3 linked regions of the Oryctolagus cuniculus genome follow. The protein of the gene in region 2 purifies or fractionates together with the protein of the main gene of each other region. This does not show direct contact. Links are inferred from orthologs where the notes say so. Each region holds a gene or a part of one and is shown on either strand. Other genes may lie near its edges.

What was found.
Region 1: the proteins of NCBP2 (region 2) and PHAX purify together in Homo sapiens (affinity purification with mass spectrometry; 5 studies listed by BioGRID and IntAct, with this or other methods). This does not show direct contact. The link is inferred for Oryctolagus cuniculus from reciprocal best matches to the Homo sapiens genes NCBP2 and PHAX.
Region 3: the proteins of NCBP2 (region 2) and KPNA3 purify together in Homo sapiens (co-immunoprecipitation; 3 studies listed by BioGRID and IntAct, with this or other methods). This does not show direct contact. The link is inferred for Oryctolagus cuniculus from reciprocal best matches to the Homo sapiens genes NCBP2 and KPNA3.

Annotation. Positions count from the first base shown.
Region 1 is NC_091437.1:15,873,836-15,880,880, reverse strand, and holds part of PHAX (phosphorylated adapter RNA export protein), read right to left. Parts: intron 5,845-7,045; coding exon 5,231-5,844; intron 1,703-5,230; coding exon 1,582-1,702; intron 1-1,581. UniProt on the Homo sapiens protein: A phosphoprotein adapter involved in the XPO1-mediated U snRNA export from the nucleus.
Region 2 is NC_091435.1:83,418,077-83,425,578, forward strand, and holds the start of NCBP2 (nuclear cap-binding protein subunit 2), read right to left. Parts: upstream 3,106-7,502; 5' UTR 2,980-3,105; coding exon 2,902-2,979; intron 884-2,901; exon of another isoform or gene 221-883; coding exon 39-220; exon of another isoform or gene 1-38. Other genes in the region: protein NCBP2AS2, read left to right, coding at 3,227-3,526; PIGZ (GPI mannosyltransferase 4), read right to left, coding at 5,240-6,807. UniProt on the Homo sapiens protein: Component of the cap-binding complex (CBC), which binds co-transcriptionally to the 5' cap of pre-mRNAs and is involved in various processes such as pre-mRNA splicing, translation regulation, nonsense-mediated mRNA decay, RNA-mediated gene silencing (RNAi) by microRNAs (miRNAs) and mRNA export.
Region 3 is NC_091440.1:69,092,232-69,100,074, forward strand, and holds the start of KPNA3 (importin subunit alpha-4), read right to left. Parts: upstream 4,597-7,843; 5' UTR 4,410-4,596; coding exon 4,341-4,409; intron 1-4,340. UniProt on the Homo sapiens protein: Functions in nuclear protein import as an adapter protein for nuclear receptor KPNB1. Binds specifically and directly to substrates containing either a simple or bipartite NLS motif.

The sequences.
Region 1 (7,045 bases), on a different chromosome or scaffold from region 2:
TGTTTGCCCATTACCGATTTTTTGCATTAATTTTGATTTTTGAAAATGCTGCATTAAAGAATTATCTATCTTGATTACTGAGCTTTTTCAGCAGTCCCTCAATTCTGCACCTAAGGCAAGTCGAGTCCCACTCAGCCTAGTTCTAGTCCTGCAGGCACTGCCCCTTCATGTCAGTTCAACAGGCACCTTCCTGTAATACAGCTCTGCCCTGATCGCTCATTTACTGCCACCTCCTTCTCTCCTCCGCTCCCTCCACCTCCATTTGATCGTCTCTCCCCACAGGATGTATCACTTCCTGATGCACCTACAGTTATTGAACTTGACCACTTATGGACTGTCTCCCTCTCACCTCCAACCCTAAGGTAAACTCTTTGTTCTAGAAGAGTACTTGGCACACGGGAGTTACTCAGGAAATAATTGTTTAAGGAAAAGAATATAGCTGAAGAAAATGAACCTGGACTTCCATCTTCCCAACTTCTAGCCTGCATTAGCTCACTGGAATCTAAAATTTTATTACCACAGTAGTAAAATACCGATGAATCTAAATCTGCATAAAACTGAATGAGACTCTAAGTAGAGTAACAGGGACACAGTGCAGTCCTGATTATTACTTGCTTTGCTGCTAAATTCCATTTTAATGTCTGCAATTTATGCTCACAAGCTGTTTCCACAGTGGATGCTAAGTGGCTCCTTTTCTCTGTTTGCACAGCGTACTGATCCATCCATCCACACCCTGGGCTGAGGGCTACGTTAAAGGAGATCTGTGCAGCCGTTGTGCAGGGTGAGGTGGCTGCCGGAGCCCAGTCTGGCCCAGCCCGAGATCTGTGCAGCCGTTGTGCAGGGTGAGGTGGCTGCCGGAGCCCAGTGTGGCCCAGCTGAGAAGTGCTCTGTCATTCTCAAACAGCCAGCAGAGGCTCGCGACCCTTGTTCCATCATCATCCCCCACACCGGCATTTTTCAGAGAGGTTTTTTTCTCTTTCATCCCTACCACCTATGAAATTTTAAGACAATGGGTATGGTGTGCACCTACCTGTGCTTCATACACGAAGAAACACTTTCTGCTCCTCTTTTCAAGAAAAGAGCATGAAATTAAATGAACCCAAAGTAACATTTCTAGTCGTGGGCACTGTGGGAAGGACTTCACCTGCATCAAGCCGACTAATGCTCATCAGGGCTGAGCAGACGGAGGTGCCCAGGAGCCGAACAAGCCCTCCGAAGCTCAGAAAGCACAGCCTCGGGACAGCACAGACCCCAGACCCCCGAACCCACCCAATGTGGGCTCTCAAGCTTCCCCACGAAGCTGTTAAAACTGCACTCCCGACCTTTAATGAATCAAGAGAGATACACTCTTAACTGCAACACACTAAGATACTAAAATTTATCTAGCTTTTTGGGTAGATAAATGTAAGTATTAATTGCCAAAAGTTCAGAATTTCTAAATTCACTATTCATTGCTGATATAGTTTTTAAAAATATGAAAAACATCATAAAGGATGATAAATAAGAGATGCAAAAGAGGCAATATTGCTTTCTTAAAGAAAAAATCATGTTAAAAAATACTAAACAGTAGAGCAGTCTTACCACTATAAAAAGGCCACCATTTTGTTCAACTTCAGCAGTTTCCATCAGCAGTTCAATCGCCTTTTTGTTTCCAATTATCCTCACTACTCGGGCTATCAGATCTTTCTTTGGTTCCTGTAACCTGATAAAGAACAAATAAAGCAAAATTAACCTCTTTCTTTGTGTAAAGAGTTGAAGAAATTGATAGTTTACTCCTTAACTATAATGAAAATCCCATTGTAATAACATCTGCCTTTTTTTTTTTTTTAAAGATTTTATTTATTTACTTGAGAGACGTAGCACTTGGGCCATCTTCTGCTGCTTTCCCAGGCCATAGCAGAGAGCCTGATCGGACGAGGAACAGCCGGGACTCGAACCAGTGCCCACATGGGATGCTGGTGCCTCAGGCAGAGGCTTTACCCTATGCCACAGCGCCACAGTCCTGGCCCCTAACTTCTGCTTTTCTAAATATTCAATATTTAACCTTGGAATCACTGGCACCAACCATCGTAATCTTAGGCCACACAGGGACATTATAACCTCAAGGTTATTTGGCCTTGTCACTTGCAGGTGGATTATGGCAGATTTCAAAACAGATAGGCACCGATAGCAAGGTATGAACAGAAACCCAAATGCAAAAGAAGATAAACCCACTCCACTCCTGTCACAACAAACACGTACTGTACTATGCTTTCAAGTACGCCTAACGCTGGCTTTCCCAACCCCAAAGACACCTGGGAGCTCTAAAATGCATGCACCCTTTCCCTCACAGGCTGCCCCGGAACAACAAAGAAGCAGCTGAAACCTACCAAAAACTTTTATGCACCACTCAGATAGTTCTCTCTGCAACGTTATGATGTCAACACTACAGTGTCCACTTAAAACACAGGGAGCCCAAGAAATTCTACTGTCAGAGCCACCACTTCACGAAGGGGAGGGAGAATAACAGCACAGAAGGCTGACCTGCTCGTCAGACCTGGCACCCTTTGGCTCTCAGCAGAAGGTGGCGCGCATCTGTACAAAGGGCACCGGGCTAGGAGCAAAGGGACCAGGGCCTAGCCCCTGGTCCGAAAATACATCTGTAACCTTGGGCATGCCACGTTCCCACTGACGGGGTCTGACTCCTCTTATCTATCAAGTTTGCAAAATCTCACTCCAGCACTCAAATCCCAAACTTCTCAGTACATTAAAACCCATACTAGTGTTGAGGTAGATTTGCCTGGAAAGCCAATACTTGTTTCATAGCTGTATGAAAGAGTGACAGAGACAGAGGGAAACATGGGGGAAGAGGGGAAGAGAAGGATGTTTTCCAACTGCTAGTTCACTCCTTCACCAGCCGGGGTGAGGCCAGGCCAAAGCCAGGAAGCCCACCTGGGCCTCCCGTGTGGGTGACAGGAACCCAGTCACTTGGGTCATCATCTGCCGCCTACCTGGCACATTAGCAGGACACTGGACCACAAGCATGGAGTAGCTGAGATGCAAACCGGGTACTGTAACATGGCATGCAGGTGTCCACTGCGGTGGTTAACTCACTGTGCCTCAACGTCTACCCCTCCTCTTTACATTTTTACTTTTATTTATTTGAAAGGCAGAGGTACACACATACACACACACACACACACACACAGGGGAGGGGAGCTGGGGAGAAAGATTTCATCCACTGATTCTTTCCCCACAAGGGCTGCAAAAACCAGGGCTGGGTCAGGCCGAGGCTGGGAGCTATGAACTCAAGTCAGGTTCCCACACGGGTGGCAGGAACCCATTGACTCGAGACGCCATCTGAAGCCTCCTAGAGAGCAAATCAGCAGGAAGCTCAAAGTGGAGCCAGGACTTGAACCTGCCACTCCAACATGGGTGTGGGTGTTCCAAGTGACATCTTAAGTGCTGTACAAATGCCTGCCCACATACTACTCCTGAGCCGTATCTATTTTCAAATGTGTGACACTGTATATTAGTAAGCTGGAGATAATGGAAAATGAATCAAAATGTGAGCTTCTTAAAAATACATGAATTATAAATTTATCATTCACAAAGCTATTCTACTCCCAAGTATTTACCCAAAAGAAATGAAAACAAAAAAAAATTTTTTTTTGACAGGCAGAGTGGACAGTGAGAGAGAGAGACAGAGAGAAAGGTCTTCCTTTGCCGTTGGTTCACCCTCCAATGGCCACCGTGGCTGGTGTGCTGTGGCCGGCGCACCGCGCTGATCCGATGGCAGGAGCCAGGTACTTCTCCTGGTCTCCCATGGGGTGCAGGGCCCAAGCACCTGGGCCATCCTCCACTGCACTTCCTGGCCACAGCAGAGAGCTGGCCTGGAAGAGGGGCAACCGGGACAGAATCCGGCGCCCCGACCAGGACTAGAACCCGGTGTGCCGGCGCCGCAAGGCAGAGGATTAGCCTAGTGAGCCGCGGCGCCGGCCGAAAATATATGTTCTAATATCTGCATGTGAAGATTCGAAACAGAAGTAGAATATCCATACAGAAGGGAGGAACACACACGCACATACACAAGCAATTAGGGACTGATGTCTGCTACATGACTCAATCTCAGAAACATTACACTCAGTGAAATAAGCCAGGCATGTGACCATAGTCTGTGAAATTTCACATACTATGAAATGCCCAGAAAAGGCACGTTTATATGAGGTATAGATGAGGAGTCACGTAGGAATAAGGACAGGGGTTCACAACTGTGCACGGGCACATGGACACAACGAGTGGCTGGTGTAGTGGCCCAGGAGGTTAAGCCACGCTCAGTACACCTGCACTGGAGTGCCTGGGATTGTGTCCTGCCTCAGCTTCCGATCCAGTTTCCCACTTATGTGCACCCTGGGAAGGAAGCAGACGATGTTTCAAGTGCTTGGATCCATGCTGTCCATATAGGAGACCAGCATGGAGTCCCTGGGTTCTGGCTTTGGCCTGACCCTGTCCTGGCTGTTAAAGATCATTATGGAGTGACCCAGCAATATCTGTCTCTCTCTTTCAAATAAACAAATAAACCCAAAAAGAAAAAAAAAAGTGTTGGTGATGGTTGTACAGCTTGATAAATTTGCTGAAAAAGCCCAACACTTGAGATGAGTGAATAGTATACGTAAAATAATCCTCAAGAGCTAGTTTACAAAGTCACAAGTGCTTGAAAACTCTAGAGAGAGACATAATTTAAAAAGATGCCCTGGGGGCAGGCACTTCGTGTGCGCGTGCACATGCTGCTTGGGATGTGTGCATCCCGTATCAGCGCGCGCATTCAGGCCTTGGCTCTGCATCTGATCCAGCTTCTTGTGACCGTGCACCATGGCAGACAGAAGGCACCATGTCGCAAACCTGGACGGAGTGCTAGGCTCCTGGCTTTGGCCTGCTCCAGAAAATAACAACAAGTCAATACACAGAATTCAAAAAAAGTGCCATATAAGAGCTTTATGGCACAAAATGCAAAGAGTTACTTAAAGTTTTAGAAGTCTGCAAGATTATCCTCTCAGTCTTGTTCAAATTTAAAACACAAATGTACTGACATAACCAAATAATCACAGAGTTCTTTAAGCAAAATAACCAAGTAATTAAAATTCAAGGCAACATTGCTAATGCGTTTGCCATCATGAATGCACACTGAGTTTCCAACAACAGAACAGAGCTGGGTCGAGCGTGCATTGGTAGGCCCGAGTTAGCTGCTCACCTGTAAGCGATTTCATCGGCCACCTTCTCCTGAGAATCCTCCTCCGTGATCTCGTACCGGCCTTTGTAGTTCATCTCCAGCCTGGCTCCCACTCTGTCTCTGACGGGCCGCTTCCGCTTGAGATGCCCTTGCCCGTTTTCCTCGTCCTTCGACCCCCCCTTTGTGCCACCATGCATGTAGTCGTCTAGCTCCTTGTCTACATCTTTTGCGTGCTCCTGAGATTCCCTCCTGAGTTTCTTAGCCAGCAGGTAATTGTAGGTCTCTGACTGCCTGCTTCTGTCAATCGTGCCCTCCATTCCCAAGATGCCCAGTTCAGTGGCCACGGCGTCCTGGTTCTGCTCCTGCAGCACGGCGCCCCAGATGTTGTTAACCTTCTTTCCTCCGGCGGCGGGGGGCTTCTGACTACTCTGGTCAAACTGGAAGGGCTCTGGCTTGGGAGGCAGGCTCAAACACTTCTGTCGCTTGCGCTTCCAAAGAGAGCTCTCATCATCTGAATCAGAAAAGCTCTCTTCACTTGAATCCACACTTTTAACAGTCCGGTAATGTGACGCGGGTGCACCCGCTGCTGTGGGACTCTGCAAGCCCCTCGCGGCACTGCCCCCTACTAGAACTTTCTGCAAGCAAGAGGAGACACGGTCAGTTCCACAAAACACATTCCGCCATGTATTCCACCCGCCATGTGCTGCTTAAAAAAATAAAGAGCGAGGGAGAGAGAGACTCAACTGGACTATTCTAGAACAAAATTGTCTTCAAAAACATCTCTGAAACCAATGCTTATGGAATTTGCCAAATATAAAGCTAAAAAACCTGGCATGGGCGTTGTGAAGTGCAATGATTAAGCTGTTATCTTGGACACCTCACATCCCGTATCTGAGTGCCTACTTTGAGTCTTGGCTGCTCCACTTCTGATCCAGGTCCCCGCTAATATACTGGAAGGACAGCAGAAGATGGCCGAAGTCCTCGGGCCCCTCCTACCCATGTGGGTGACCTGGGTGGGATTCTGGGCTCCTGCCATCAGCCTGGCCCCACCCTGGTTATTGGGGGCATTTGAGGAGTGAACCAGTAGATCAAAGATGTGTCTCTCTGCTTTTTAAATAAATAAATGAATCTTGGAAGAAAAAAGGCTACGCATTCTTATTTCTACAGCTAATGCAGCATTTAATTCTAAGGTCTCTTAAGAAATTAGCAGAGCTCTCAGTTCTCACTTTCAGAAGATTTCGTCTTTTCCATTATTGTCAGAATGCCTGGGAATGTCACACGCAATTTGCTACTGGCAGTTAGAACTGTTTTCTTTCTTTCCACAGATACCCGCCTTGCTGTACACACACCAACTTCCTCCATAAGGTTCAATGATTGTTTCCCTTTGGATTAGAAGGCAAACTCCTACCGGGAGGAACCCGTGATATCACTTTTTTTTTTTTTTTTAAGATTTATTTATTGAAAGCCAGACGTATTGAGAGAGATCTTCCAAGCAGGAGCTTCATCCGGGTCTCCCACATACGTGCAGGGCTCAAGCACCTGGGCCGTCTTCTGCTGTTTTCCCAGGTGCCTTAGCAGGGAGCTGGATCCGAAGTGGAGCAGGCAGGACTCAAACTGACGCCAATACAGGATGCCCGCGTGGCAGGCAGGGAGTTTACCCAGTACCTTGTCCCCCTAACAATCCTAAAACTGCAGAGTTCATGACGCCAGTTTACCAAGTCACGGAGCAATTTAGGTAAAACCACTGAGAACAAATTGTGTCGGAATTAACTCCCAGGGCATTTATATGCAAAAGGAGTCACCTGTGCTTTAAAAAAAAAAAAAATAACTACCGCC
Region 2 (7,502 bases):
TAGTTCAACAGCTACATTAGATAACACAGGAAGGATACTCCACAAAACAAAATCCACATGCTGTTTTTTTCACTTTATCCAGACCCATAATAATTTTCTTTATGTCACCACTTTTACTGAAGAGTTCATAAATTTGTTCTTCAGTTGTGTAAAAGGAAAGATTTCCAACATATAATGTACAGCTTTTCTTCAGTAATTTTTCTTGTTCTTCATTGTCACCCTAGAATTTCAAATAGAGACAGAGTTAAACAATACAACTTACTTAAAGAGAGCCTTGCTTAAATAGTATCTCCAAGTACAATAAAACATTAGTTCTGATTTGGAAATAAAATTCCCTTATCATTCCAATCCACCACAAAAACTTGCCAATAAGAGGGGGAATTCAAATTCTGTAAAGCACTTAAGCAAGGTCCAGGAGGGGAGGGTTAGGCTCACAATAATGACACTGTGCATGCCACCTTTCCATTCCTGCATTAGACTGCCAGACAAGCAGTGTGCCTTTTTCTTTCACACTCCATATACTCAGCATTGGATCTTTCTCTAATGGCCCAAGTTTAAATTCCAGTATAGGGGCCAGTCCTGTGGCGTAGTGGGTAAAGCTGCTGCCTGCAGTGCCAGCATCCCATATGGGTACTGGTTCGAGTCCTGGCTGCTTCACTTCCAATTCAGCTCTCTGCTGTGGCCTGGGAAAGCAGTAGAAGGTGGCTCAAGTTCTTGGGCCCCTGCACCCATGTGGGAGACCTGGATGAAGCTCCTGGCTTTGGATTGGTGCAGCTCCAGCTGTGCTTCCATCTGGGGAGTGAACCAGCGGATGGAAGACCTCTCTCTCTCTGCCTCTCTGTAACTCTTCAAGTAAATAAATAAATCTTAAAAAAAAGAAAAATCCCAGTATATAAGGAAGGGCCCTTCTCTCTGTAGAGAAAAATGGATTTTCAAAGATCAAGTTTCCCTTATAAAACTGTCAAAGCAACAATGGCTTAGATGACTTACAAGGTCAGAGTTCAGGAAAAAAGATAATGATGACTAAAAAGATCTTCTTAGTGAGGTTCCTGACTTGGAAGATAAACCAGAGACAGGAATATATAATTGGCTTTAACCAAGACACCTGACAATCCCTGGGGACAAGATGGCTCATCATGGACTAGACATGATGCCTTCACAGAAACCAGTATCTTGGGTGCTGGCATTGTGGTGTAATAGGCTGTCTCCACCTACAGTGCTGGCATCCCATAAGGGCGCTGGTTTGTATCCCAGCTGCTCCTCTTCCAATCCAGGTCTTGGCTAATGGCTTGGGAAAGCTACAGAAGACAGCCTGCGTGCTTGGGCCCCTGCACCCCCGTGGGAGACCTGGAGGAAGGATCAGCTGTGCTCCAGCTGTTGCGACTATTTGGAAAGTGAACCAGCGGATGGAAGACCTTTTTCTCTATCTCTCCCTCTCAAATAAATCTTTTTTTTTTTTTTTTAAGAAAGAAACCCATATATGGCTGTTTTGGACCTTCTAGCCTCCATACTGGGAAGGATACATGTGATTAAATATGAGGCCCATCAGCTGACTTACTCTCCCGCCGCTCTGATCTAGCTTAAGAGTCCAAGATAACCACACCAGTGGCATTCCAGCTTGTAGGGCCATGAGTAGATCCACACCAGCACGCACAGGGCACTGTTCCAGTGGCCCTCACTTCTTCAGTCACTGCTCTACATGTAGTGCTGATCAGTTCTCTTCACTCCAAGAATCACTCTGCATAAGCTGTCCCTGAATGCTCTATAGCGCATTACTTAGAACAACAGTTTTATGTGATCGCATTCAGTGGTAATTAGAGAAATAGCGAAACCATCTAAACTCACACCACAAGAAAACTGAGGGCTGGTGTTTGGCACAGCAGTTAGGACACCCACATCCTGGTCAGACTGCCTGGGCTCAAGCCCTAGCTACGCTTCTGATTCCGGCTTCCTGCTAATACTCACCCTTGGAAGCAATGGGTGAGGCCTCAAGTCACTGAGTTCCTGTCTCCCAGGCATTTGGGGAGTGAACCAATTTCTCAAATAGGAAACCAATTGGACTATGTAATAATATACACTGATTTTTAAAGAAGCAGTCTGGTTCACTCCCCAAATGCCTGCAACAGCCTCCCCCACTCCCCAGCTCGCCTAACGGAACACGAAACACTGCGACACGGTGTTCAATAGTTTCCCTAGTAATTAGGTTATGAGTGCTGCTCTGCCGCAACCTCTGGCCATCCCCGCTGTCACCGGGAAAGCCCATCTCTAAGTATCTGCAGCTGCCCCCTTTCCCCAAAGTATGTTGTAATACAGCCTAAAACCCCCCTTCTGAAATCCAGCATTCTTCCATCTAAACACGCGGGCATCCTCTAGGTGGTCGATCTGCCACCCCACTCCGAACTCTCCCCGACGTTAGAGACAGGACTCAATTTTGTGTCGCCCACCCACCAGTTAGAGCCACTAACAAAAAATTTTAAAAAGGATCCGAAGCGTCAAAGAACACTGGCCGATTATTTAAGACCGGGGGGGGGGGGGGACCGACGGGGGACGGTATGTGTGTCAGAAAGGCGCCTCCACACGCTCCAGCAATGAAAAAGTCTCTCCCCTCATCACAAGTCACTTTCCCGACGCACGGCCTGCAGGAACAGCAGCCAGCGCTGACGACGCCGCTCGAGCCCTCTGCGCCGGCCGCGCACGAGGAGCGGCTGCAAGGCAACGGGAAAGCGAATCTCAAACTCTCTCTCTCGGAAACAGAGTGGGGTCCCCTCCAACATCGCTGCCTCCCCAGCAGGCACCGGGGACCCATGGCCCGTTTCGGGGCAGCAGAAATGTGCAAGAGCAAACCGTTTCTCAGCGTCCTGGCTCAAGGGTCTGCCCGTCGCGCGGCCCGGGCTCCCTCACCCGGAAGTGCTGGTCCCGGTACTGGCTCAGCTCCACGTAGGAGTCACTGCGCAGCGCCTTCAGAAGGCCTCCCGACATAGCTCACACAGCTGCACAACGACGCGCCGACTCCCGAGAACAACCGGACTGGGGCGGCGGCGCGGCAGCAGCGGCGGCGGCGGAAACGGAAACGCGCGGACGCGGCGCACAGTGGGAGTCTCCAGACCAATCCGAGCGCGGCAGTGTCGTCATCAGACGGCGCGGAGGCGGACACAGTCCGCGGCCCAGCGCCGCCGGTCCGGGGACGAGGGAGGCGTGCTCTTGGTTCCGGGACGCTCTCACGAGGATGGTTCTTCGGCGGCTGCTGGCTGTGTTGCTGCACAGCCCGCAGCTGGTGGAGCGGCTGGCCGAGTCTCGGCCCATCCGGCGTGCGGCGCAGCTTACGGCCTTCGCGCTGCTGCAGGCCCAGCTGCGCGGCCAGGACGCGGCCCGCCGTCTGCGGGGCCTCGCGGCGGGGCCCGCCGGCTCGCTGGGTCGTCGCGCCGCGCGATTCCGAGACGCCTTCACACAGGAACTACGCCGTGGCCTCCGGGATCGCCCGGGGACACCACCGGGGAGCCAGAGGGGTCCAGGCGCAAACCCTTGAGCCCGGGCCGAGGTCGCCTACTTTCGCTTCGGGACTGTACAGTGGCTTCGGCGCTGAGGAGTCATCCCGGGAACTGGGCACAGCTTCGAAACCCTGACTCAGATTTCCGGCCTGCAGACGTCCCACTACGAAGAGCCCAGGCCGAACGGACCTCCTCGTTGAAGCCCTGTGACGGGCAGAGCTCCGTGTGGCCAAAGACCCCGAAGCCTGAGGGGCTGCCCCGGGACGCAGCCAGAAAGGGAGCCTGCCCTCTACAAATGGGACAAGAACTCGGGCTAGATATGCGGGGAAGATCATGGATGGAAACACGGCCCTGCAGCTGCCGAAATCCTCTGATTAAATGCGTGAGCTGATTAACCGGCGTGAGTGTGGTGCTTCTCAGACCAGGTGGATTGGGAGGCCTGGGCGCTGTAGGCCGGCACACACAGTGAGTGCTTATTCTGGGCTGGCGCTTGCTAATTGCTCTCAGTGTGGGTTATCACACTTAACTCTTTACAGCGCGTTCGTGGGAGGAAGTGGATATTACTTCTTACGTTGCCCAGAGCCTTACAGAGCGGAATGTGAGTACAGGCATTTGACTCCGGGGCCTAAATCCGTAATCACCACTCTCCACAGCATCTACCCTGCCCCAGTGCCTGTCTTCCTCCACCGCCGTCACCACCAGGCATTAAGACTACCGGGATTCCTGTTCACTTTTGTGGGTCTGGGATACAAACCACTGGTCCAGCTAACGGACCTACAATTAGGATGCAAATTGTGTACAGAAGTGCCCTGTCATTTCCGGCTCTTGATTGGGTGTCTGATGGGCTCTACTTAGGCTACACAATTAATCATTCCGTCTAGGAAGCGTGAAGCCTTTAAATGTAACCGGTACTGACCAAGCATCATAGATTCCAACTGTGTTCCCACGGGGCAGGTTGGAAGGACCTGAGTGACATCGCTGAGGTGGGAGAACACCTGGGCTCCCTCCTCTTCGAGAGTGAGCCTGCAGGGCAAGGTGCAGCAATGGCCGGAGGGCTTAGGAACAGGAGTAGGAGAGGGGAGAAAACTTCCAGAATAACTCGTTTGGATAATAACCGAACACAGAGACAGCAGGTACCAAGGTGCCATTAGATGCATTGCCACTCCCACTTGCATTCTTAAAGGGCTTTGTGGGAGAGATGCCTATTAAGCCAGGGGACGTGTGCTGTGGAGTCCAGGAATGACAAAATTAGCTGACACATTCTGCAGAGATTCTCTGGCCTCCTGTGTTCTGAGCCAAAGGGGCTTTGTCAAGGTCACACGGTCTGTGAGTGGCAGGTCTGGGACTAGAGGGCGCCCCTGAGTCCGAGCCTCCTGTTCTCTGTGTCACCACATTGCCCTCCTGGGATCCGACAGGCCAGATTGACTTAGGAAGCCAAAGAGCTATCTGTCATTAGTAGTTCCTGTCTTCACAACCAGGCACTATTACGTATTTAAAACATCATGGTGGCCCGAAGGACTAGGGCAGGTGCAGACAGCGGGTGCCATATTCACATCAGGATCCTTTGGAGACCTTGACACCAGGACCATGACTCATCAGGTCTTTGTTCTCCGAGAGAGAAGTGCCAGCTCACCAAGAAGGCCGCACACCCAACAGCTGTGCCTTAGAGAGGCAGCGGTGGAAATCCTGAAAGAGACCTGTGGACTAGCAGCCCAGCCCAGCTACCCATGTGGAAGGTATGGTGGCTCCTTTTATGGCCGAATCCTGGGCAGTGGCTGCTCTGCTGTGTTGTCAGGCTTCTCTCCCAGCTCCATGATGTGGAGACTGAGGTGGTCCCTCCAGGCCCCGCTCAGCAGGGAAGACAGGGCTGGTGGATCCTCCAGGGTCAAGTGGGGAAATATGAGTGTCTCATTCTTGAGGGGGAAGCTGCACTTCTCCACAGCACGCCTTGTGGTGCCAGGGGTCACCACAAAGAGGCGGCAGAGCCACGGTCCCCCGGCCCCTTGGCAGGCTGGTTGTCTGGTAAGATTGTTGAGGGCTTGGCATAGGACCCAGTCCTCAGTCCCACCCATGTCTACCACCTTCACGGGAGAGCCCAGGCTTGGGAGGTGGAGGAGGTGTTGGGGGGGCATGTAGGTGTGGGTGAAGAGGAGTGTGTAGCGGGTGGGCACGCTCGGGAGCACAGGTGCGTGGACCACTTGCTCCAGGTACTGCAGGCTGGGCACCAGGCCCCCCTGATGCAGGCAGCCAAAGAAGAGGGCACCTAGGGCATTGAAAAGGACCAGAGCCCCCTTCCAGGGCACAGGCTGTGTCCGTGGACTGCAGAGCAGGACCACAGGGACCAGGAGGGGGATCAAGAACCGAGCCTCCTGATGGCTAAAGGCGGACAACAGGGCCAGGGGTGTGAAGTACAGGAGAAGGAGGCTAGACCTGGGGCTGGACAGCAGGCCATGGGCACCCAGCCTCCTCCAGAGGCCCACCTGGGCAAAGGCCTGGAGGCAGACTTGCAGCTGTTGCCATGCAGCCCACAGGGCCTGCGCATGCAGTACCCCAAAGAGCAGGAAACCGTTGACTGCCAGGTGAGTGAGCCGCGCGTGTGTGCCATGCCTTGCCAGATTGTGGGGATCCAGGTTGTAGTGCAAGAAGTTAACAGGCGTAAGCACCAGGGTGCTGGATCTAGAGAGGCTGGAGAAGTACCAGCTGTCCGAGGCCACAAACACCACTGCGGTGAGGGCCATCCCTGGGAGCAGCAGCAGGGCCTTCCAGATCAGGGACTTGAAGCCAGGGTTCATGGCTCCCCGAGAGCCCCAGAGGAAGAGGGGTACCAGAGCAAATGCCAGAAAGGTGGGCCGATTGAAGAAGCCAGCAGCCACGATGCTGCCAAGAAGCCAGCTGTGCCACCGAGGACCTGGAGCAGGCGTCTTGAGTGTGTGGCTCCGTGCTGCCTTGGGGGGCACCAGCATCAGCAGGCATGTGAAGAGCAGTCCCTCGATGGCATTGGAGAAAGTCCTTGTGTAGAAGACCAGGATGACGTAGGAACCAGACAGCAGGACAAGGGCGTTCCAACGATCTGCCCCCCACCGTGGGGCCAGGTGGTACACGGCCCCATCCAAGGCAAAGGAGAGGGCAGTGAGCAGGAGCCGGGGCCCCACCAGGAGTGCATAGCCACTCACCCGGCCCGGCCGGAGCCCCAGCTCTTCCCAGAGCCTGAGCAGCCAGAAGGTAGAACCAGAAGTCAGCAGTGGGAAGACCACTGTCCGGCAGGAGCTGCTGGGGTAAAACTCCCAGGGCCGTGTGGCCTGTAAGCCCAGGATGTCCTCTGCAGAGAGAGAGGCAGAGGTGAGCCAGTTCCAAGCTCAGGGGTGCGGTGGGCAGTATTCCAGGATGGCACCTGAGATTTCCCACCCTCTAGTGTGCACATTGCACAACCTGGGACTGTGCACAGATGGACTTTGGTCCTGTGATTGGGTTATGTTCCATGGGGTGCTGGCTGTGACATGGAAGAACTCTTCCTGACCCTCATCCCCCTATCCCGTTAAGCAGCGTTGTCTTCAGCTGAATGCAGAAGAGGCCATCAGATTCATAGCCTGAGAAAGATTTGCTGTGGCACTGCTGACTGAAGGAAGGAAGGGGCCACTGGCAAGGAATGTAGCTGACCTCTGGAAGCTGAGAACAAGGGAATAGGAACCATAATTTTGCCAACAGCAAGAATGAGCATGGAAACATTTTCCCTCAGAATTTCCAGACAAGAACTCAGTGCAGCCCATTCCTTGATTTTGACCTTGAGCAGAGTGCCCAGGCTGGACTCCACAGTACGGGACTGGGAACTGACAGCTGAGTGCCGTTTTAAAGGGCTAGGTTTGTGATGACTGGGCCTGCAGTGACAGAAGCAAATAGCAGGAACCCCAGATGAGTGAGGCTCCACCTTGTGAAGGGGGCAGGGAGAACTGTACCCTGGAAAGGGGGTGTAGTCCCTGTCTTGGGGCTCAAAGATCTACAAGTCCGAGTCAGAAA
Region 3 (7,843 bases), on a different chromosome or scaffold from region 2:
AAAAGAAATTAAGGGTTGGGGTCAGCACGGTGGCACAGCAGGTAAAGCTGCCACCTGGCAATGCCAGCATCACCAGTTCAAATCCCAGCTGGTCCATTTCCAATCTAGCTCCCTGATAATGGCCTGGGAAAAGCCTCGGATGATGGCCCAAGTGTTTGGGCCACCCATGTGGGAGACCTGGATGAAGCTCCTGGCTTTGGTCTAGCCCAGTGTTGGCCACTGTGGTCATCCGGGGAGTGAACCAGCATGTAGAGAATCTTTTTTTTAGACAGACACAGAGGGACAGAGAGGAATGTTCCATCTGCTGGTTCACTCTCCAAATGGCTGCAACGGCCAGAGCTGGGTCAGGCTTAAGCCAGGAGCTAGGAGTTTCATCCAGATCTCCCACATAGGTACAGGCACCCAAGCACTTGGGCCATCCTCCACTGCTTTCCCAGGTGTATTGGCAGGGAGCTGGATAGGAAACGGAACAGCCAGGACTCAAACTGGAGCCCATATGGGATGCAGGCACTGCAGGTGGCAGCTTAATCTGTTGTGCCACAATGCAGGCAACAGCCACAGCAGATCTCTATCCCCACTCTGTAACTCTGAATTTTAAATAAATAAACCTTTTTTAAAAACAAAAGAAATTAAGAGTGTCATTTTCACTATGTACTTCCTAGTTTTAGCTACAAAATCCATTCTCCTTTCCAAATTCCAAATTGCTATCAGTGATAACTACTCCCTTCCCTACTTTCATCCATAAACCTCAGCATAACCTTTATCTCTTTCTCTTCTGGGGAGCAGGAGAAAGATCATCATCAAATTCTCTTTCCAGGTTGTAGCCACCTCCAGTCTCAAGTTTTTGGAAATTCCTTCTTGCAGATCAAATAACAGTACTATTCCTTCACAACTAACTCTAGCTATTACTGCCCTGTCACCCTTTTCCATCTACTAACTCCATTCTGCAATGAATTCCTTCAGATCTTCCTATCAAGAAAAACTTCCAAGCATCTCTTTGCCACAAGGCATTCTCATCCTCTGAACAAACAGGCCATCAGGAAGCCTCAGCTCTTCACACCCTAACCTAATCTTCTTTTCTACCTGGGTCTTTAGCCACTAATTTCTCATGTGCCCCTTTTAAGCTGGGCACATATTTCCTATAAGAATCATCGACTTCATTTGTTCTCTCCAATTTTCCTTCTAAGAAGCCATTCTTGACTAAATGACTATGAAATTATTTTCTTCCACAACTCTCTTTATCCAATCTCCTTGGCATAATGCTACCCTTTCATTCTCTTTAGAAAATAACATATTTATTCCTACATCTAGCATCTTGTGTATCAGATGTTGGCTTGTTTCACCTTTATCTACCCTGTGAAAAGAATAATCAAGGTTCACCTGTTTTTTAACAGCTTGATAATCACAACTACTCAGAGCTGAGGTGTAGTATGTTTCTAATATAATACAGTTTCTAACAGATAGACTCAATTAGACATGCCACATAGTATCAGTTATCCCTCAATCCACAATGAAGGCCCTTGGTCAGATCCGACCCTTAGTCACATCTCTACCACTCCCTCTCCCCCTCTCTCACAGCCTCGCAGTCTACTACATTCTCCATGCTCTTCCATTACTGCTCCCTCAAGTCTGGAATGCCCCTTCTTTTCCCTCCCCCTTCTCCTGAGTCCTCCCCTTCAGGATCAGCTCACTCCCATTCATCTGTAAGGAATTAACCAGAACATCTCTGATGGCTCAGCTCCAAGTTAGGGTCTTCCAATGCATTTTCCAAACACCTGTATCGTAACACACACTGATACAGTGTATTGTAAATATCATTCCCTTTGGACTGCAAACTTCTTGAATCATGTAAGCTAAATCCAAGTCCTCTGAGTACCCAAGACCTAACACTGTTAAATACCCAAGACAGTGAGTGCTCATATCCTGCATGACCTGCACATACAACATAAGCACTAAGCTTCTGCATCTGAAGTACTTTACTCAGTTAAAGTGGGGATAAGACCACATCTAGCTCACAATTTGTGATAGGATTATGAGGTATCATGAAGCTCTCAGTGCAGCATAGTGATTGCCACACTGAATCACTACTTTTTTAAACATGTGGCTGTTTTAGTAAGATGTATTTATTTGAAATGCAGTTACAGAGAGAGGGAGAAACAGAGACAGAGAGACCTTCCACCCACTGGTTCACTCCCTAAATGACCACAAAGGAACTATTTTGGGAGCCAGGAGCCAGGAGCTTCTCCTGGTCTTCCATGTGGGTGCAGGGGCCCAAGCACTTGGGCCATCCTCCACTGCTTTCCCAGATCAATCAGCAGGGAGAGGGAGCTGGATCGGAAGTGGAGCAGTCGGGTCTCAAACTGCACCCATATGGGATGCCGGTGTCCCAGGTGGCAGCTTTACCTGCTATACCACAGTGCTGGCCCCTGAACTACTATTTAAATGTCAGCTATTTCATGTGTCAGTTATCTAATGTTTCTTGAGAAATGTAATGCTGTGACCAGTGTCAGGCTGAATGGCTTGGCAACCATGCTGTCTTTCTCACATCTAGAAGTCACTAGTTACCTTTTGATCATCAGCAAGTACCTGTTGTGTATCTATTATGTGCAGGAGTCTTTAATAGGTATCACTAAGACACCAGAACACAATAATAAGGCAAACAAGAACAGAAATCTGTACCAATGCCGAAGAAAGAATGTTACTAGTTCTTTTGTACGAACAATATGACCATTTTAAACTATATAAATTGTGTTTTGCAATGGAGTAGACTTCAAAGAAATTACTGATGAAAAAAGTTCAGAATTAACTCTTCTCATCAAGTAGACTGATAAGAAAAGGCTGCTCCAAAATTTCTAGTTCCCATTTCTCAAGTTTCATCTTTGCTTAGAAGTATTTCCCACAAGCGAAACGTAACCACGACCAAGACAGAGATAGATGACCTTTACTTGTCTCACTCGAATGGGAATTCCACAGATATTTCCCCAGGTTTTTTCCAATTAGTACTTAATTTATAGCTCCAGATCATGGCCAGAGTTTGTCTCTAAAAAACATAAAGCTGAATGGTTTATTCTCCCCACCACCTTCTCTCTTTGAGACAGAATAAAATATATTCTTCTTAGTCACAATAAAATATATTCTTCTTAGTCACACTGGCCCCTGAGTCAAAATTACAGAACTGCAAATCCTATCCCCTAGTATTAGCAAAGGAGGTAAAATCATCCCCCCCTAACAAATCCAGAGGTCAGGATCCCTGTGAAGTTTGTGCAGAATGCTTCATTGCTTTTAGTAGCTGCAGAGAGACCTCTAGCGCTGCCTCAATACGCCGAGTTTGCAAATACTACCTGCTAATGTCACCGTAATGAGACAATGGCAACATACTGAGTAGCAACGAACTGAATGACCACGATGAAGGTTTAGTTTTGCAGCCACCTGGAAATTCTACCTGCCTGGAACACGAGGTATGCACAAGGACGTACGAACCCACGTATCCAATTTATTTCAGCGAAACATGCCAAACAAATGATCATCCTGTGCATACCCCCATTCCAAGAAAGGCTAAGAAAACAGGTCCTAGGAGCGGAGGTCGGAACCACCTCTTTCCCCAAGCCTCAACACAATAGATGTAAACTATTGTCCACCTTCAGCTCGCTCCAAATGCCAGCAGTAACAGGAGTTATGAGCTGGAAAAGCACAGCACGACCGGTCCAAAGACCAGCAGTGGAATATAAGAAAATGGTCCTGGTGCATCCCTACCCTCCCCCATCCACCACCCTCAAACAAGTCGGTTACCCGGCTGGTCCCCACCCCCCTCTGCGGGCCGCCACCGCCCGCCTGGGCCCGGCTTGCAGGAGGTAGGCGCGGGGACCGGCACTGCCGAGGCTCCATGTGCGGCAGCGCGGGAGGCACCGAGGGGGCTGCGCCGGGCGGGAGAGAGCGAGGGCAGCGGGCGCGAGGCGCGGCCGCCCCCTCGGCGGAGCGGACGGCGGCCCGGGGCGGCAGCATCCCCGTGCGCCCGCGCGGCCCCGGCCCGCGGACCCCGCCTCAGCCCCACATCCCTTCCTCGCCGACACCAGGCCGCGCCCGCGTGACGGGGCCGAAAGCCCTGGCGTTCCCCTGGTCCCTGTGCCGGCAGCTCCCGAGGGCGCTTGCAGCCCGGCCCCGCGTCCCGCGTCCCGCTTCGCCCAGCCCCGGGCCGCGGGGACGGGAGACAGCGGCCAACTCCGACCGACCGCAAGCCGGCGAGAACCAGCGCGGCGCCAGCCCCCCGCCCCTCCCCGCCGCCGGGCCGGCGCGGCCGGGCGGGCAAGCCGGGCGGGCCCGGACCGCGGAAGCACACTCACTTCCACATCGCGGCCCTTGTTCTTGAAGCTCTTGATGCGGTGGTTCTCCAAGCCGGGGTTCTCGGCCATGGCTGCGCGCGGCTCCGGCGGCGGCTACTCCTGCGGCTGCGGCGGCGGCGAGTCTCGGCGCGGGAGGGGGAGTGGGGGAGGGCGGGAGGGGAAGGGAGGGGGAGGGGGAGAAGCGAGCACGTTCCGTGACGCCTCCGAGCGCGAGGTGGCAGCAGCGCCGGGGGAGGCGCGGGCCGTCGGCCGGGCCGGGAGGGGCGGGGCGGGCACGGCGGTAGGGAGCTGCGCGCGCCCGGGGAGGCTGAGGACACGTGACCGGGGGCGGCGGCCGGCCGGGACGCTGGCCGGGTTGGTTCTCGGGATGACCCTGCCCGCCCCAGCAGGGCCTCCCCTCGGGGCAGCAAGTCATGTGCTAGAAATGGAGCCGGACTCAGTGGCTTTTACCCATTCCCGGACTCGGGGCAGCAGGTGGCAACTACAGTTCCCAGCATGCCAGGCTCCAGGCGTAGTAGTTGTACCCGCCCAGAGAGCGAGGTGAATGCCGGGACCCCTGCGCGCGCGGCTCTGAGCGCGGCGCGGCTCCGAGCGCTGGGCGCGAAGCTCCGCCTTCAAGGCCGCCTCTGGGCGGGGCAAAGGGAGGGGCTTCCAGCGAGATGGCACCTTGCGCCCTATCGGGGAAGAGAGGCGGAGCTTCCTGGGAGGTGAGCCGCGCTCCCTGCAGCCTCCGCGTAGAAGAGGGAGAGAAACCGTGCCGGCCTTGCTCCTTTGCTTCTTTGGGGTTTCCCCGAATAGCATCCTCCCTCGTGCGCTCTTCCTTTGCTCTGTTAGATGTTATAAATAGCACCTCTGTTCACCTGATACGTCCACGTTTATGCGTGTAGTGTGTGTGTGTAGGGGTGTGTGCCCCGGACTCCCGCACCGAGGGACCGCGGTTGGCTTTCTCCAGGCAAACAGCGCCTGGCGCTTCGTAGGTACTCCAATTAGCTCTGCGACGCCCGCTTTCTTCAGCATCCTCCAGCGCCCCCTCGGACAGTTCCTGTACTCGGGTGGCCCCGAATCCTCTTGTTCTCGTACCCTCATAATCTCAGCCTTCACAGCGGTCCAGCCCTGGTCCTCAGATGACCCTAGGGTCATCGAAGGAAGTTTTCGAGGAACATATTTTGGGTGGATAACACCATTAGCTGCTTTCTGCAGCAAGTGGGCTTCCTTTTATTATATGGGACATACTTTGGGAATACAAGTATGCAAGTATAATTCAAGTGGATTATAGAAAGTATGTAACGGTTGGTAGAAATACGAGGGTACTTCTGAAACATTGGACAAGGGCAGGAGTTGGGGCTCAGCGGGCTAAGCCTCTGACTAGGAGGCTGGCAACCGAGTCCTGGCTGCTCTGCTTCCTGCTAATATGCCTTGAAGACAGCAGATGATGGTCCAAGTGCTTGGATCCCTACCACCCACATGGGAGACTCTCGTGGAGTTCCTGAAAGGTGGACTTACAGAGGTGGAGAGGCAGAGACAGGGAGAAGAAGCTCTCCCATCCGCTGGTTCACTCCCCAAAATGGCCACAGTGGCCAGGGCTGGGCCAGACTGAAGCCAGGAGTCAGGAGCTTCTTCTAGATTTCTCACGTGGGTGCAGGGGCCCAAGGACTTGGGTCATCTTCTGCTGCTTTCCCAGGTGCATCAGAGCACCAGAGAAAGAGGGAGAGACAGAGATCTTCCATCCGCCGGTTCATTTCCTAGATCGCTGCAATGGCCAGGGTTGGGCCAGGCCAAAGCTAGGAGCTGGGATCTTCAACCAGGTCTCCCACATGGGTGGCAGAGGCCCAAACACTGGGGTCATCTTCCACTGCTTTTCCCAGACCATTAGCAGGAAGCTGCATCAGAAGTGGAGCAGCTGGGACACAAACCACCTCTGATTTTTTTATTTTTCTATTTGCTTGTTTGTTTAAGCTATCACATGCTACCTCCCAGGGTGCATATTACCAGGAAGAATCAGAAGCAGAGCCAGGACTTGAACCTAGGCACTCCAATAATGGATATAGGCTTCCTGTCAGCTTCCACACTCAGCCTCTCCATAGGACAAAAGCCCACCACTCAACTCTGATTCTTTTTTTTTTTTTTTTTTTTTTTTTTTTTTTGACAGGCAGAGTGGACAGTGAGAGAGAGAGAGAGAGAGAAAGGTCTTCCTTTGCCGTTGGTTCACCCTCCAATGACTGCTGGGGCTGGCGCGCTGTGGCCAGCGCACCGTGCTGATCCGAAGCCAGGAGCCAGGTGCTTCTCCTGGTCTCCCATGCAAGTGCAGGGCCCAGGCACTTGGGCCATCCTCCACTGCACTCCCGGGCCACAGCAGAGAGCTGGACTGGAAGAGGGGCAACCAGGACGAATCTGGCGCCCCGACCGGGACTAGATTCCGGGGTGCCGGCGCCGCAGGCGGAGGATTAGCCTAGTGAGCCGCGGCGCCAGCCTAGTCTCAGTGTCTTTTTAAAGAATCTGTTTCTACCTCACAGTCTAAAATAAGTTTTTTATTTTTCACTAATAACTTTAAAGTTATTCTTAAGGAAACAGAGTTTTACGTTTGTTCCTAGATTGAGCTGAAGAGAAATTTCCAGACTGTTGCTCAGTCCCTATTCTGATTTAGCATCTGTCTTCAGTTTATTCTCTTCTACTAGACCTTTCTTCACTCTGGCTGCTGTCCTTTAACGTGTGTCTTTCAAAGCTCAGTTTGGAGTTTTAGACATATGTAATGACCACTTACTGTATCTGAGCACTAGGACGCATTTGTAAGCAAGACAGCCCGGTTCCTGCCTCCATGTGGATTCCTATCTACCAGAAGCAAGTAATCACACACACACACACACAACCCAATGTGATGAGTATTAAGAAAGGAGAAAGAATCTCAAAGCTCACAAAGTCCTTTATAAGCCGCCCATTCCTAAAACAGCTGCTGTTTGGGGGATGCCGGGCAAGATTTTCAGTGGACATCTCTGTGTTACCGGAGAAGCAAGAGTTCTTGTCTTCATGCAAGAAAGAATTCAGGCATGAGACAGAGAGCAGAGGAAAGCAACACAGCAAGGTTTATTAGGGTAGGGACATCCATAAGAACGGATGGGCACCTCTCCAGACAGAACCTGAGAGAGAGTGCCCAGTCGCTCAGACTGGGGGAGAGCGAGGTTACACGGTTGAGTGGAGAGAATACACCTGGGCAGGCCAGGCGGGTGGCTCAGCAGAAAGGCAGAGGGCTGAGTGTGCAGTCTGGTTGAGGCTGGGGTTCTTAAGGGGGTGGGTCTTGCCTTCCCACCTCTTCTCCTCCTGGAATAAAGGACTTTATGAAAAATTCCTTTCTGAGTTTCCCCCTGAAGTTATCAGACAGGGGGAAGGACGGAAGGGGCAGGAGTTTTGAAGTGCAGATACTGGGCTGCACCTGGAAAGTGACTTTGAGATGCAGATGCTGGACCTGGATGTCAGTGCCTTAGGCCTTTGTCACACACACATAAGCT